Linked DNA regions of Drosophila melanogaster. The protein of the gene in region 4 purifies or fractionates together with the protein of the main gene of each other region. This does not show direct contact. Each region holds a gene or a part of one and is shown on either strand. Other genes may lie near its edges. The genes, in order: RpL7, mRpL22, Hrb87F and His1:CG33825.

Region 1 (3,657 bases), about 11 Mb from region 4:
CACGTGCGCGATGGGAAAAAGCTCTTCCCACATCGCCGGAATCGTGGGGTGCCAGCCCACTGATACCATCGACCCATATATGATGCACTAAATCAACTCGAAGCGAACCAGAAGTTATAAGCAATTAATAAATAGTTTGTTAAACTTTACAATAAGCAGAGAAAAACGTTTTATATTCATAAATCAAACTTAGTCTCGCACCTGATTTATTTTCTTAATCTAGAATGCCACATTAGAAGAATGGTTTAGTTTGAATTTTGTAAGAGCCTAGAATACATTTTATAAATCTGTTATTCCTAAGATTTTAATTTTAATTTGTTGTGCAATTATAACAATATGCTTAAAGATCTCATTTCTAGCCATAACTCATATCATTCTTTGGATTTAGATTAATTAGGGGGGGAATATCATGTATCACTGTTTCAAAAATTTAATACGCATATAAAGCCTTCGGATCTAAAAAATCTTCTGTGCAGATCTCTGGTTTTCCAAACTGATAAGACTGTCTGAAGTTTAACTTATGTAACTTATCTTATTATAACTAATAAACTCCTTTAAACTAGCTATCAGCAGTCAGCGGTAGAAACCAGCTCCATAAACGACCTAGACGGAGGAGAAGTAGTCGCAGCTGCCGCACATGTCGTATAGTTGTCCCGAAGCGGGTTCGATGAAAAATCGCAGGGCCTGAGTGCACTGAAGTTCATGGCTGGCGATTTGTTGTTGCAGCAGTATCTGCAGCTGTTCCATGTTCGCAGAGTGCTCGAAGCGGATGCCACACTCGCAGATGAAGGCACCTTTGTGATGGCGTAGGTTTTTAATCTGACAAACTGGGCATAAAACCTCCTTTTGCTGCTCATCGGGCTCTGCGTATAGCGTTTCCAGATTCTTTTCGCCCAGGGCATACCACTCGTTGACATCGGATAGTAGCTCCTCCAGAATCAGCTCCTCAAGCTCCACATCCTTCTCTAGCTCACTGAGTTCCAGGCGCAGGATTTCCCTGAGTTCGGACTGAAAAAATGGGTGGTTTATGATGGGCTTACTATGGAGATTTGTATGTCCTACCAATTGGATTTCTCGTTGGGCATCCGTGCATCTATTGCGCGTTTCTATGATGCGCTTGCGGTATTTCTACAGGGTATTTATGTGTAAGTATATTGGTACTTTAAGGGGTACACTGATGTCTTTACCTCTCGCAGCATTTCGCGAAGTCTTGGCATTTGGTTGCCCATCCGCTGTCTTTTGGCCACTTCTTGAGCATGCCGCTTTTGCTCCACGGAGGTGCGATAAACCGGGCTTTGAGTGGAGTTCATTTCGGTTTATTTGTATATGTGGTTATTTTGTTTGTTTTTAATCTTTTTTTTTAACTAGATATGGTAGGTCAGTGTCGTCAATAAGGCAAGGTTCCAATTTTATAGCGCTGTTGGTGATTGATAGTGATCTAAAAAGTATACGGTATTCAAAATTAATTAGGTAAATTAAGTGAAATGAAGTAAATGTAAGATACGACTCATCTCCACATATATATAAAAGATTATAAAATAAGTAGTATTACTTAACACAGCCCATGAAGACAGCTCGCACAATGAATTCATGAACTAAGGGCGGCTTAAATACACTATTAACATGTTTAACCAACTTACCTAGTAATTAGCAATCGGAAATAGTTGAAAAACACAACTTTTTTGCTAAAAAAAAAAATCCGCGCAATTTGCTGTTGCTCTGCTAGTGGTGGCACTTCTTCGATAGCCCACTCCGCGGCCAGTGTGACCGTTTGGCCGATGGCGCGCGTGTCACGTGTGCACGCATTTCGCAGCACTGAAAGCAGGGTTGTACCGATTTGACAGCCCGAAGTTGGCGTATAGCACGTTTCCGGTCTTTCTTTCCCTTTCTTTTACCAGCGTGTGCAGTGACTAGTAAAAGGTTAGTGCGATATTTTCAATAAAAATACCATCCAAAGTGAAAGGAAACCGCTCAAATGCCATTGTTTTGTGCCGCCCACAGATGCCTGCTCCGGTCGTCAAGAAGCCAGCAGCGAAAAAGCTGCCCGCCGTGCCGGAATCGAAGCTGAAGTTCAGCAAGAAACAAATCTCCAAGCGAGTCGCCGAGTCGAAACGTCGCCTGAAGAAGGCCGCCGTGATTGCCCTGCGCAAGAAGGAGAACCTGGTCCGCGCCGAGAAGTACCAGAATGAGTACATCAAGGCGGAACAGCGCGAGATCAAGCTGCGTCGCTTGGCCAAGAAGCGCAACCAGTTCTACGTGCCCGCCGAGGCCAAATTGGCCTTTGTCGTCCGTATCCGCGGGTAAGTCCTCTAATGCTCCTCCATGCACAAGTCACACCAATTCATGCCCAATCCCATTAACCGCCAACAGTATCAACAAGGTGGCTCCCAAGGTCCGCAAGGTTCTGCAGCTGTTCCGTCTGAGGCAGATCAACAACGGTGTGTTCATCAAGCTGAACAAGGCCACCATCAACATGCTGCGCATCGCCGAGCCCTACATCACCTGGGGCTATCCCAATCTGAAGTCCGTGCGGGAGCTGATCTACAAGCGTGGATTCGTGAAGCATAACCGCCAGCGCGTGCCCATCACCGATAACTTCGTGATCGAGCGGAAGCTGCGTCAGGCGCACCAAATTCAGTGCGTCGAGGATCTTGTCCATGAGATCTTCACCGTGGGGCCCAACTTCAAGTACGCCTCCAACTTCCTGTGGCCCTTCAAGCTAAACACCCCCACCGGCGGCTGGCGCAAGAAGGCCAACCATTATGTCAACGGTGGTGACTTCGGCAACCGCGAGGACCAGATCAACCGTCTGCTGCGCAAGATGGTCTAAGGACTCCTTTTGATTTATGTGCTGAAACGACAACTGCAGCGGTTCGATGTAAACAGTGAGAGAAATAAAAGTTACTTTTATAAACCCACGAAATGCCGTTCAGTACAAAAACGCAGTGTTTTCGCTTCGATTCGCTGATTTAGTCATTGCGACTTAAATTGGAAAATATCAGTGAAGAGAGAGAGGACTTTTTTAAGGAACGTTTAGTTAAATGTACCAATAGTTTCATAACAACTTTAAATTTAGTAATTTTCTTTCATTTTAATGTTACATTTTTACTTTAAAGAATTCTGCGGTACTCCAGAAAGTCTTGCCCTTTGCTAAGATTAACCCCACGTTCAGTATAATTTTTTGGTTTGCTAATCGTTAATAATTCGATGTATAGCAATATTTAAATTTAAAATTTAGACAGTTTGCTTTTGTAGGCCCATTATTTGAAATGAAAACACAGGATTCTTGTTAATTTGTCTACGCTCTAGATTGTTTATTGTTGTTCTGGTCAAATTTTAAGCGCGCTTAGTGCACAACACTTAAATGCAGATAGCAAGCTAGATTCAGGGTGCCAGGGATAAAAATCGTTTGCCAATGTACACTTTATTGAATCATGGTTTGCCTTTCAGCTGGCAGTGGATTTAAATCGTTTTTTTTTTTTTTACACACACAATAGTCCAAAGCAGTTAGCAAACAAACATAAATTGTAAATTCCAATAGCATGGAAATTAGTCAATAATCGGGAGGAAGCTGGCACCCTTTTTAAATGTATAATTTAATTAATCGTTACCACATGGAGCACATGCCGTTGTCCGCTGTTCAGATTCCCGCTTCTA
Region 2 (3,428 bases), on a different chromosome or scaffold from region 4:
TATTGATTTTGGCTTTTGTGTTTGTGTTTTTTTGTCAGATTTTGTTTAATATGCGTATATTTTGGGAATTTATTTGGTCGGTGCACTTTTCACTGGTGCTGCAACACTGGAAAAAAATGTTTCAAGCAATTTGTTGGCGCGTCGCGTGTTGTGCTGTTAATAAGTAAAGTTCACTTTCAATTGGTATTGTTTGTATTATTTATATTTTGATTTGCTATTTGACATTTGGTGTTTGCTCTACCTCGGCAGCGAACGCAGCAAGATTTAAACGACGACTAATGGCGCACAGTATCTGTAAGATACATCTTAGCACCGCCAGAGATACATGGGTGAACTGCTCGTGCCAGATCGCCTACTCAATACCCAACCAATGTAGTCTCTAGTTTTTAGACTCGGGAGAGCGATCTCGGAACAAACGCAAAGCTCTCAAACAACCAAAACGATAGCAAAAGTTTTATTTTTTCATTATCTACACATGTATGTAGCGAGCATCCCACTCGAAAAAAATTTCAAAGGTGAGTTTCGTGTGGGAAGTCTGTAATTTCCGTTAGCAAAAGTTTCGACCATTTGATGTGTCATTTTGTTGGGCCATATGTACATATGGAAGAACGTTTATTTCGAAAATGGAATCACATATAAATTTATGATTTTTATGTTCATATACACAAGCTTATATCCATTCGGAAATTAAAAAAATGTATATATTTTTTAAAATTCGAAAAAGGTAAATACACTTTTTTCAAAGTTTTAACTAAATGAGCTTTGAAATCTATAAGTTTTAATTGCACGATATGCAACATTTTCGCATGTGCGTTGGTGCAAATTAATTCTGCCTCGAAAATGAGAACGCTGCAGTGAAAATGGGTTTTCCCATTTATCCAGATGGTTTAGATTCGCAATCACGAGATCTCGGAATGTAGTGCAATTCGACTATACGAGCAAATTCGCCGGCTAACCGAGGCAGAGCAAACTGGCAATGCAAATTAATGAAAACAAACAATGAGCCCTCGAAACTCCGGTAAACATTTTCGATGGCTGGATATATGTATCAGATAACACGCAAATATAAATGTTTCGCCGTTCAATTACCATCGATTGCATTTGCATACGCGAATTTGAATCAAAACTGGCGCCCGTTGAATTTCCGTTTCGAACGCGAGCGCTCCGCACTTTACACCAGGCAACTTTCGCTTCACGCCACCGAATGCAGCACTCAGATGGCTAGCAATTCCTCAGATACAATTTCAAATTTCACGCAGGGATGCCAGATCGTTGGGCGATTCAAAAGTGAGCGCGACGCGCTGTTGAGAACGATCAACTTAAGTGTATAATATTGAACTAGAATAGTTACATAGTGCATAAGGAATATTTATGTCTTTCAATTTTAATATACTTTAAAGATGGTCAATTCCAAATGGGTACTTTAATTGTTAGGTTTCATATTTTTATGAAAATGTGTATTAATTGCTAATTTGTGTGGAGATAAATGTTTCCGTTTCAATGCATTATTTTAATGGCTTCTAAATGTGAATTGCTGATATGCTCTTATTTAAGTTAATAATTTTATGTCGTACCAACTTGCTTTTACAAGTTTTTTTTTAAATCTAATAAATAAATATATTTTCAAGCAATATCGATAGCGCTGCCAGATGTTTACATATCCTAATCAAACGCTGCCATACCGCTCGCAGATCAGCCGCTTGTGCGGTACGTTTTAGGTCCACGGCATACCTGCTGCCATTGGTCACACTGGCAGATTACGCGATTATTTTTTTTACGGAAAGTCTGCGTTTTCCCTTCCGGATTGAATTGCCTGGATTTGCTGTGATAACTCAAGCAAGCTAAGATGCACAAGGTGATCCGGCAAATGTCCCAGCTGCGCCTGCAGGCGCCACAGGGAGCAGCGCTCCTCCGATCGGCGGATAGCAGCTCAATATCACCAGCCATATCACCAGTTTCACCACCTGCCCTCCAGTCGAAATCCCTGCACACGGCCGCTTCCGCCGGAATGCTGTGCGCCAAGTGGAACAAGTACAACTACGGACCCCGCAAATGGCTGGAGTACAACAAGACCGTGCATCCGCCGCAGGAAACGGACGAGGAGCCCAGAAATGCTGTAAGATACATATTTCGAACGCACTGCTGTTACCCCTCCAGCTGCAATCCTCTAATCCACTTGCATTGCACAGTATGTCTGCCACATGCGCAGCAACATCAAATACAGTCCGGACAAGATGTGGTACATCGCTGCCTTTGTTCGCGGAATGTCCGTCGACGAGGCGCTGAAGCAGCTGAACTTTGTGCTCAAAAAGGGGGCCACCGATGTGAAGGAGACCATACTGGAGGCCCAGCAAATAGCCGTGGAGCGGCATAACGTGGAGTACAAGAGCAATCTGTGGATAGGTGAGCCGCAGGGGCACAAGGAATCTATGTATCCACTATGAATGATGGATTATCATTAGTTTCTTCATCACTAACCATTATATTGATGAATCTTTGTCTGTTCTTACCTACCAGCCGAATCCTTCGTGGGCAAGGGACGCGTCTTCAAGGGCGTGAGGCGGCATGCTCGCGGTCGCTTCGGCAAAGTGGAGTACAAGCACTGCCACTACTTCGTGCGCCTGGAGGAGGGCGAGCCGCCGCAGCACTACTACCAGGAGCCGCAGACGCCGGAGCAGCAGTACGAGAGCTGGATGGAGCAGATGCGAAGCCGGAAGATCATCAACTCGCTGTAGCCACCTGAATTGGCACTCGTATGCAATCGATCCGCACTCCTGCAGTCCTCCATCGCCATCGCGTCCACGCGCATTAAGCATTTTTTTTGGTTTTAGAAGATTGTTTAATAAAATAGAAACAGACAAAAGAACTATGTCAGAGGTTCATATTGTTCTTATTTTTACTTAGAGGAGTTTATTTTATTTAGTTTTGCGCGTATATACACAATGGATATTATTGGTTTTCTCTCTGGATGCCCGAGAGTTTCGGAACTCTAGTTGAAGTCAGGGAATGTTTGCAACTGTAAGCTTAAAGTAAATAAACTAATTCGCTCCAGGCGAATACTACTAATAATAGCTTACTAATTTATGCAAATTAATGCAATTTCGGATGTTTCTGAACGCAAATCCTAAGTATTTACTGATAAATTAGTTGTTTCTCTTTTAGAAGTTGTGGTTTAAATTAAAGTAGTCATTCAATTGTTAGCCTCTTGACCAGACCTTCTCACTCCCGTCCCTTTGAATGGCCTTTTGCTCTACTCCTGCTCCTTTTCCTCTTCATCCTGCAGGGTCTGTGCCAGCAGCTCCTCGACGGGGTCATCCTTCAGCGACTGGGTGATCTTTTCGAGGACCAAAGGCTGTCGCTCGCGCACCGCCTCATCATCTTCCTTGTCCAATTGCAGGCAGGCCAGTTTGGATAGCCTCGAATGTTTG
Region 3 (6,043 bases), on a different chromosome or scaffold from region 4:
TTAAAATAGCCTGATTTACTACAGCACTCAGGTGAAGCCAACCACAAATTGAATGACAGGCAAGAAAATCCAAACGTCTATAGTTATGGACTATCGAAAAAGGTCCAAAAATATTGTTGCCACATTTAGATGATTCAGCATTATTGGATGCAAATGGGCCAATAAATCGATAGGGTTTGAATCCTTAAAGCGTAACCCTATAAATCCCTATAATATCGCCTCTTTTGCTTCGTAGTCCTAGCAAAAAACCCTACTTATGCATTATTAGAAGAAAAACCCCATTGATCTCATAAGAATTTAGTTCGTAATACAATCCAGAAAGCTAGGTCCTTCGAAAACCGGCTATAATCCACTGAACATTTATGGTATTCATAGAACAAATTGTTCTTGGTAGTGAAAGTTCTTGTCACTTTTAGATGATTCAGCATTATTGGATACAAATAGGCCAATAAATCGATAGGGCCTAAACCCTTATACGTAACCCTATAAAATATCGCCCCCAGAAAATAAAATACAGCTCTTGTTCTTGCTAGTAAAAGTTGTACTTTATTGAAAAATTCAGAAACAAATGAGGTGTTAGTAGAATACCGACTAGTTACCTTCACTTACCTCCGCTGTACCCACCAAGTTAGCCAGAAGGGAGCCACCAACCAAAGTCCACCAGTGAGTTCTTCCTGGGCCACCGCTTGCTTTGCGGTCTAAAACCATTAACTAATACCTGGTGGAAACGAACCGGTGCGTGGAGCAGCCCAGATTTCGTATACGGACCCGGGAGGGAGCTTCCGTCCGTAGCCCGGCCAGTCTTGCAAAGAAATAGTCAGTGCATTAGTATGCGGCGGTTTGCCCGGGGGTTAGGTGGTGGGGGTCTCTAGTGACGGTAATTAGCCCTGCCCGCTACCCTGCCGATCTGGGATGGATCGGAAAACCCGGATTTTGCTGCAGTTGCTGCTCCTCTTTGCTAGGGCATTGCTCCTGTGATTATTTCGTTTCGTTTCATTTTGGGTGGGTAGGTAACATTGGTTAGGATTTTATTTTGCTTGTATCTCTTTGTCGCTTTCGTTTCACTCGTAACGAACTAATTACAGAATGTTTGTGATATTTGTTTAGCGTTTTTCTTTTTAGTCTGGCTTAACGTAGCATCTACTTCTTAGGGACTAACAGAGTTGGTATGCATATATGGATTTTGCTCGCTAGGACACCATTTCTCGGCCACTGTGCAGCCTGTACACAAATGTGCGTGGCATTCGCATTTCAGGAGTTGGGATCTTACTTGCCACAAATCATAAAGGTTCTTAGTTGTACAAAAAAAGTGATTACAAAATATGGTACTATTTGATTTCTTACATTTCGCTGGATCGCTAAAAACAATAAAATCATGAATAAATATAAAGAAAGTGCTCTACCTTATAACACCCTTACAACGACTGAATCTCAAGGAGAATCCGTCGCCGCTCAGTTGGTAGTCAATTTTGTACAATAAAATTATTGTTTAATTTATATTTTGTTGTGTTTGTTTCTTTTGTTTGTTTATGGTTAAAACTAAGCGTTCGGGGTTCTTAGGACCCTAAACATAAATCGATCAGCGAATTATTAATGGTTACAAAAGAGAGATAGCAGCATTCAAACTGTGGACAAGTGGCGTCGATTGGATTTCGTTTCGTTTCGCTTTTGGCTGTTTTGCTTGACGCATAATCATTTGCTTGGTGCTTTTGACAAGTGGATTATGGCTATAGCCTGCAGGTTGCGGCCGGACCCAAACCTGATTGATTGATTTATCGTTTGCATTTGCGCACGGCCTGGTTCTTGGTTCTGCATCTTGATTTCTTGGTTCTGATCTTGTCTGCCTGGTCTGACACACACATGCTACTGATTGCCTGCCTGTGAATGTGCTTGTCCCTCTGCATCTGCCTGCCTAGACTGCCTGTTTGTCGTCTAGCTTGAACTGACACACTCTCTCTCTCTATGTGTGTTTACCTAGTTGCGAAAGAGGAGAAAATTTTGCATTAGCTTCGAATCGTTCCGAAATGAGTTTGATTGCATGGCTAGGCTACCAACTAGCTGCCAATAACGACCAAAGATCCGAGCGTTTGAGATTGTACGATGGGATAGGACCTGTCGTCCAGGTTATCTATATTTACCTTGTCTAGTAACGTCTATTGCCGCCTCCCATATTTCCACCCTGGCCACCACCTCCGGTGTTGTAGTTGTTGCCAGCAAAGCCTTGACCTCCACCCTGGTTACCTGTAAAAAATAAATGCATGGTTTAAGTACATTATGTACATTATGGTCAAATCACTTAATAACCCAACATACCCTTGTTGAATCCTCCACCACCACCTCCTTGACTGTAAGGAGCTGGACGGTTGTTGCCAAAGTTGCTGTTGCGCTGTGGACCGCCGCCGTAGCTCTGCTGGTATTCATTTCCGAAGCCACCGCCACCACCACCTCCACCACCGTTACCGCCCCAGCTGCCATTGCTGTTTCCGCCGCCGTAGCCGCCGCCACCACCACCGTTCCAGCCGCCGTTGCCGCCACCCTGGTTATTCCATGGACCACCTCCGCTTCCGCCTTGCTGATTCCAACCGCCAGAGCCGCCGCCCTGACCGCCTCCAAAGTTACCGCCGCTGTTGCCGAATCCTCCGCCGCCGCCAGCTCCGCCCCAGTTGCCCCCACCGTTCTGTCTGTTCTGGCCTCCCCAGCCACCGCCTCCCTGGCCGCGGTCACCCTGACCACCGCGACCGCCAGCTCGAGGACCTCCGCGTCCGCCACCTCCGCCCTGTCGATCCATATCCTGCTTGGCAATAGCCTTCTTCACGTCCAGGGTCTTGTTCTTGATGGAGTGGGTCTTCTGAAGGATGATTTTGTCAACGGGATCGTAGTCATCGAACTCAATGAAGGCGAAGCCGCGCTTCTTGCCGGTGTCCTTGTCGGAAACAATGTTCACGCTCACGATCTGGCCAAAGTCCTTGAAGTACTCGCGCAGGCACTCTTCATCGTGATCGTCTCGAAGCCCGCCCACAAAGAGCTTCTTTACCGTGGCTCCCGCATTCGGGGAATCGATCTCCTGGCGTGGCACAGCCCTCTTGGGCTCCACGGTGCGTCCATCGATCTTGTGTGGCCTGGCATTCTGCGCATTGTCGATCATGTACGACTGGGAGTACGTGATGAAACCGAAGCCGCGAGAGCGCTTCGTCTTGGGATCCTTCATCACCACCACGTCGACAATGTTGCCCCACTTCTCGAAGTGAGCCTTCAGGCCATCATCTGTGGTGCGGTAGTCCAGTCCGCCGATGAACAGTTTGCGCAGCTGCTCTGGCTCGGTGATCTGCGGGTGAATTTCAAATGCATTAGCTAAAGACGTTCTATAATTTAAATAATTTCTAAAAACAAAAAAAAAACCCATTGATTCGAAAATAAGTTGTAATATTAAATTAAATTAATTGATTTCTTTGGACAAACTTTGCGAAAAATGTATAAATTTATATAATAAAAAAAAAAATCATACTGTATCTAAATGAATAAATGTATAAAAAATATTTAAATGTATAATAAGTTGCTGTAAATTTAATAAAAAAATAAGTTGCTGTCAATAAGTCAATAAGTTTATGTCAATAAAACGATAAAAGTGCAAAATCATCCTTGATCAACAAGGATTTGCCATTGTTTATAATAGTAATTTACCTGGCGAGAAAAAGCCGCTCGCCATATTTTTTTTTTTTTTTTTTAGTATTTGCACCGCCATGACAGCCCGTATATGTGTATGTATGTATGAATTTTCGTTTTCTTTTTTATCAAACAGCCGGCAACTTTTTTATCGGAAATTGCTTATATTTCTCGCCAAAAGAGGTCGATAAACTTTTAGCTGGCTAAATTCGCACAGGGATCGATGGCCCCCATAATTCGGTAAAAAAGCGGCGTGAATGTATATTATACACGAATATTGTCGGCGTCGACATTTTGCACTTTCACGCGCGATGAACGATTTACAAACAGCAATTGGTCATTCTGCAACTCACCTCTTCACCATCGTCGTAGTTTCCGTTGGAATCGTTTTGTTCCGCCATTCTCTCCTTGGTTGTTCAAGAAGATGGAAAGTTTAAACACCGAACGCAGGAAATATTTTTTTTGTTTTTGTTCTTTTTTGACGGCAGACTGGCAATAAATGAAATGTACAGCACGCACAATGAGAATGGAGTGAGCAGTATGACCAGGTGTCGAGAACGGGGTAAAGTCGGAAAATCGGACGCCACGTGGAATCGGAACGATTGTTTCGGTGCGTTAGGGGTGTTCCTCGACAATTAAGCTGATGCCACACTTGATTTTATATATCTTCATATAAATTTGTATTCGTCTAGTAAGGGCTTAAAAATATTAGACAAGTTTATTGTATATATTTCTGAACAAACGGATTTGAATGTATTATCTTTATAAATGGATTATGATAATTACTACCACGATAACCCAAGAAACATTTAATATGTTTAACTTTTTAGCTAAATATGTATTATTATTAATACCGCTTACATAACTCTTTCTGCGAGCATTCGCTTTAGCTGGGGCGATGGAAGGCTTCACTTTAAGAGATAACTTGTAAATTATTTTGTATTGAATTGTATATTTGTAAGTAGCCAGCTAAGGGTCAATCAATATTACAATTACGGGATCTATGAGGCATTTGGGAATAAAAAAAGACATCGTGCGAAATAAATTAATAAATCCAGAAACATTTTATGTATATCATCAAATCAGAAACGTTAAAAAATGCTAATGAGTGCTTGCTAGCAGATATCAAAATAAAAAGGTTGTTAACAGTATATTCAAATGCTACTACTAAGTATATTTAATGTTTATTCTTTTCATAGCGGAACACGAACAGCAACTGGAATACCCTTAACGCAGCGAAACGCATTGCCCGCCCAAAATATCGATAGGCGAAAAAGTATCGTTCCATTCCGCCTTTGGAATGACTGTCAAACATCGCTTTCGTCTGTCACTTTCACTTCCGTTTGTGTCGAGTCGCTTGCGTTTTTTCGTGTGGGAAAGCCTGAAAAAGAGAGAGTACGGCAGCGACTTAATTGTAAATTTGCCACAAATATCCTTCACTGAACGGTACGTGCTAGTGAGTACGCTTAAGTGAAGAACAGCGCGTATTTCGCGTTGTTAAATTAACTCGTTTTTGCAGCGGTTCTGTACACCCGGTACATTGCGAGCGTGTGTGTGTGTATGTGGTGGCCGCCATCTTGGCGAAACATACACGGCGCGTACATATGTGCGTTTTTTTTTTCTTCCATTCCTAAAGGACAGTCGAGCAAAATAGAAGCTGCAAACTGCAACGGTTCCCTTGCTGATATATATATATATACTTCACTATTTTATAGCACCTGCTCCAGATACGTAAGGAACCGTTATCATGGTGGGATCTCGAGTGTATGTGGGCGGTCTGCCCTACGGAGTGCGCGAGCGCGATTTGGAGCGCTTTTTCAAAGGCTACGGCCGCACACGCGACATCCTCATCAAAAATGGCTACGGCTTTGTGGTGAGTACAAAATATCATATTTAACTGGAATATGTAAAAAAAAAAAATCGGTTAAATTTGATTTGAAGACATTTCTGCATTTCTCTGTTTGTCTATAGGTTTCCTAACATTTCAAGCCGACCCTTGAATACTTTTTTTTTCTTTTTGAACCTATATTTGTTCCATCATTTGTCTGTCAAATACAGTGACGCTTAAAAACTGTTCTTAAATTCACCCAGCGTATTTCCATAAGAGTATGCACAGGCAGGGTAGCTTCAATACTAATTCCATAATCAATACTAATCACTAATTGAATTTTCAGGAATTCGAAGACTATCGTGATGCCGACGATGCCGTCTATGAACTGAATGGCAAAGAGCTGCTTGGCGAACGGTGAGTTGTTAGATATAAGCCAAAGTACGAAATGACTCACGATTGTATGTTCTATATTTTTGCAGTGTGGTTGTTGAACCCGCCAGGGGTACCGCTCGTGGCAGCAACCGCGACCGCTACGACGATCGATATGGT
Region 4 (3,213 bases):
GCTCGCAAATCGACTGGTGGAAAGGCGCCACGCAAACAACTGGCTACTAAGGCCGCTCGCAAGAGTGCTCCAGCCACCGGAGGTGTGAAGAAGCCCCACCGCTATCGCCCTGGAACCGTGGCCTTGCGTGAAATTCGTCGCTACCAAAAGAGCACCGAGCTTCTAATCCGCAAGCTGCCTTTCCAGCGTCTGGTGCGTGAAATCGCTCAAGACTTTAAGACGGACTTGCGATTCCAGAGCTCGGCGGTTATGGCTCTGCAGGAAGCTAGCGAAGCCTACCTGGTTGGTCTCTTCGAAGATACCAACTTGTGTGCCATTCATGCCAAGCGTGTCACCATAATGCCCAAAGACATCCAGTTAGCGCGACGCATTCGCGGCGAGCGTGCTTAAGCTGACACGGCATTAACTTGCAGATAAAGCGCTAGCGTACTCTATAATCGGTCCTTTTCAGGACCACAAACCAGATTCAATGAGATAAAATTTTCTGTGGCCGACTATTTATAACTTAAAAAAATAAGAACAAAATTCATATTCTATTATTTATGGCGCAAACGGTACTGGGTCTTAAATCATATGTAAAAATACTAATTCTGCCAGAGAAGGAATAAAAATAATCTTATTTTAATTGTCAGCTCAACATTTATTAAATTAAAGAAGAGGTTAATACAAAAATATATATTTTTATTTGTTCTTTGTGCGAACATCCTTTAAAGCAGTGAAAGTGTCGTGCGGGGCAAGGGACTCTGAACCTTAAACATCTAAAAAAAAAATCTGAATTCTGTGTAAGACAGTTTGAAATTAATGAAATTACATTGATGACGGCAATATTTATAAAATAACAGAAAATAATAAAATAAAACTAGCTATTTTATATTTTTTCCATGTGTTAACTGAAGAATGTGTTATTATTGAAGAGGTCGTACGGGACAATTGACACTGTCCCTTCAAACGTCTGTAAAAAATAAAACCTATGTAAAATTCAGCACGGAAATTGGTTAATTTTGTTGCGGAATGTAATATATATTACATAATAAAGGATAATACAAAAATTGTTTCTTTTTATTTTTTATTTGATTTATTTATTTGACTACATAGACGGTAATGCATATGTGGCGAGGAAATCGATTGATTTCAGAACAAATTATTTTAAAATATGCATGAAAACACATTAATAACAAGCAAACACATTAATAATTTAAGAAAATATTATTTATTATATTAATATTATGTTATTTAAGAAAGTATCTGTATTTTTAACGATCGAAAATTATTTCTGAATGCTGCTTTAAAGCAAATTTTTCTGTAGTTCAATGTGAACTTAAATCAAGTGATAAAGTATCTTAATTAATAATAGACGCTTCTTTCAGAAGCCCTTTCTAGGGGATGAACGTTTCAATTTTAATAAACATTACGAATTAGTGAAATATTTGCGATGATTCTTATTTTATTAGATGTTTTTTTATAAATTGGTCCAGTTAAAAATTCGAATATAAAAATTCAATCAACATTTGAAAGTCTCAAAACCCATATTACATCCTTTTAAAAATGGAAAGTGACGAAAAAATTATTTAAAATTGTAAAACTATTAAAACCTTATTTTTATTAATGATTTAAAATACTAAAAAATTAAAAAGAGTTTACACTTCAAGCAAACTTCGACATAGTAAATGACTGATGTCAGTAGCATTGTTAAAGTGCTCTCCTCCTCGATTCTCATCAGAGCAAAGGAGGTTGGTAGGCCGAGCGCGAGCCATTTTTAACAGAAAAAAAGTGTTCTCAGTGAAAAAAAGATGTCTGATTCTGCAGTTGCAACGTCCGCTTCCCCAGTGGCTGCCCCACCAGCGACAGTTGAGAAGAAAGTGGTCCAAAAAAAGGCATCTGGATCTGCTGGCACAAAGGCAAAGAAAGCCTCTGCGACGCCGTCACATCCGCCAACTCAGCAAATGGTGGACGCTTCCATTAAAAATTTAAAGGAACGTGGCGGTTCATCACTTCTGGCAATCAAAAAATATATCACTGCCACTTATAAATGCGACGCCCAAAAGTTAGCGCCATTCATCAAGAAGTACTTAAAATCGGCCGTGGTCAATGGAAAGCTTATCCAAACTAAGGGAAAGGGTGCATCTGGATCTTTCAAACTGTCGGCCTCTGCCAAGAAGGAAAAGGATCCGAAGGCAAAGTCGAAGGTTTTGTCTGCTGAGAAAAAAGTTCAAAGCAAGAAGGTAGCCTCTAAGAAGATTGGTGTCTCCTCCAAAAAAACTGCCGTTGGGGCTGCTGACAAAAAGCCCAAAGCTAAGAAGGCTGTGGCTACCAAAAAGACTGCCGAAAATAAGAAAACTGAGAAGGCAAAAGCCAAGGATGCCAAGAAAACTGGAATCATAAAGTCGAAGCCCGCCGCAACAAAGGCGAAAGTGACTGCAGCGAAGCCAAAGGCTGTAGTAGCGAAAGCGTCAAAGGCAAAGCCAGCGGTGTCTGCAAAACCCAAAAAGACGGTGAAGAAAGCATCGGTTTCTGCTACCGCCAAGAAGCCGAAAGCGAAGACTACGGCTGCCAAAAAGTAAATTGTGAAAAAGTGCAGTATTTGGTACATGTTCGCAATTAAAATTTTAGATTTATGTTTTATAGATCTGAAATTTGTTTAAACAAGTCCTTTTCAGGGCTACAACGTTCCGTTGCAAGAGAAAAAAACTTTTATTTTCTTCCACTTATTTATTAGCTGACGTTCGCAGCAACAATAAAACGTTTCATGTCATGAATTACATTGCATGTTGGTCGCATTCAGTTTTCGTTCCCGATTTTTTTGTATTTATTTGAACATTACCCAATTACCCATATTGCGGGTAAATAAGTTTTATTTGTAAATTCATATTCAATGATTGGTGGTTGAAAAATGCATTTCTTTGGTATAACACATTGTGGCCCTGAAAAGGGCCGTTTTGGATTATTGTCCGCATTCGCAGGAGAAAATTATTTAGAGCTGGTGTACTTGGTGACAGCCTTGGTTCCCTCACTGACAGCATGCTTGGCCAACTCTCCAGGCAAAAGCAGGCGAACAGCCGTTTGGATCTCCCGACTGGTGATGGTCGAGCGCTTGTTGTAGTGAGCTAGACGAGACGCTTCGGCAGCAATTCGCTCGAAAATATCATTTACAAAGCTGTTCATTATGCTCATCGCCTTCGACGAAATTCCGGTGTCAGGATGGACCTGCTTGAG

What was found.
Region 1: the proteins of His1:CG33825 (region 4) and RpL7 purify together in Drosophila melanogaster (affinity purification with western blotting; one study listed by BioGRID). This does not show direct contact.
Region 2: the proteins of His1:CG33825 (region 4) and mRpL22 purify together in Drosophila melanogaster (affinity purification with western blotting; one study listed by BioGRID). This does not show direct contact.
Region 3: the proteins of His1:CG33825 (region 4) and Hrb87F purify together in Drosophila melanogaster (affinity purification with mass spectrometry, with the first as the bait; one study listed by BioGRID). This does not show direct contact.

What each region holds. Positions count from the first base shown.
Region 1 is NT_033779.5:10,199,229-10,202,885, forward strand, and holds RpL7 (ribosomal protein L7), read left to right. Parts: upstream 1-1,775; 5' UTR 1,776-1,920; intron 1,921-2,001; coding exon 2,002-2,300; intron 2,301-2,370; coding exon 2,371-2,830; 3' UTR 2,831-3,093; downstream 3,094-3,657. Other genes in the region: Ripalpha (RPA-interacting protein alpha), read right to left, coding at 604-1,008, 1,063-1,128, 1,188-1,310; CG34159 (uncharacterized protein), read right to left, coding at 3,655-3,657. UniProt on the Drosophila melanogaster protein: Binds to G-rich structures in 28S rRNA and in mRNAs. Plays a regulatory role in the translation apparatus; inhibits cell-free translation of mRNAs.
Region 2 is NC_004354.4:16,782,229-16,785,656, forward strand, and holds mRpL22 (mitochondrial ribosomal protein L22), read left to right. Parts: upstream 1-1,704; 5' UTR 1,705-1,846; coding exon 1,847-2,116; intron 2,117-2,189; coding exon 2,190-2,403; intron 2,404-2,517; coding exon 2,518-2,735; 3' UTR 2,736-2,864; downstream 2,865-3,428. Other genes in the region: CG9609 (uncharacterized protein), read right to left, coding at 3,251-3,428.
Region 3 is NT_033777.3:13,656,324-13,662,366, forward strand, and holds Hrb87F (heterogeneous nuclear ribonucleoprotein at 87F), read right to left. Parts: upstream 4,209-6,043; 5' UTR 4,065-4,208; coding exon 4,017-4,064; intron 3,326-4,016; coding exon 2,314-3,325; intron 2,242-2,313; coding exon 2,144-2,241; 3' UTR 2,139-2,143; intron 1,975-2,138; 3' UTR 523-1,974; downstream 1-522. Other genes in the region: B52, read left to right, coding at 5,411-5,536, 5,838-5,908, 5,974-6,043. UniProt on the Drosophila melanogaster protein: This protein is a component of ribonucleosomes. Could be needed to organize a concentration gradient of a dorsalizing morphogen (Dm) originating in the germinal vesicle.
Region 4 is NT_033779.5:21,469,628-21,472,840, forward strand, and holds His1:CG33825 (histone H1), read left to right. Parts: upstream 1-1,631; 5' UTR 1,632-1,790; coding exon 1,791-2,561; 3' UTR 2,562-2,654; downstream 2,655-3,213. Other genes in the region: His3:CG33824 (histone H3), read left to right, coding at 1-390; His2B:CG33894 (histone H2B), read right to left, coding at 2,968-3,213. UniProt on the Drosophila melanogaster protein: Histones H1 are necessary for the condensation of nucleosome chains into higher-order structures.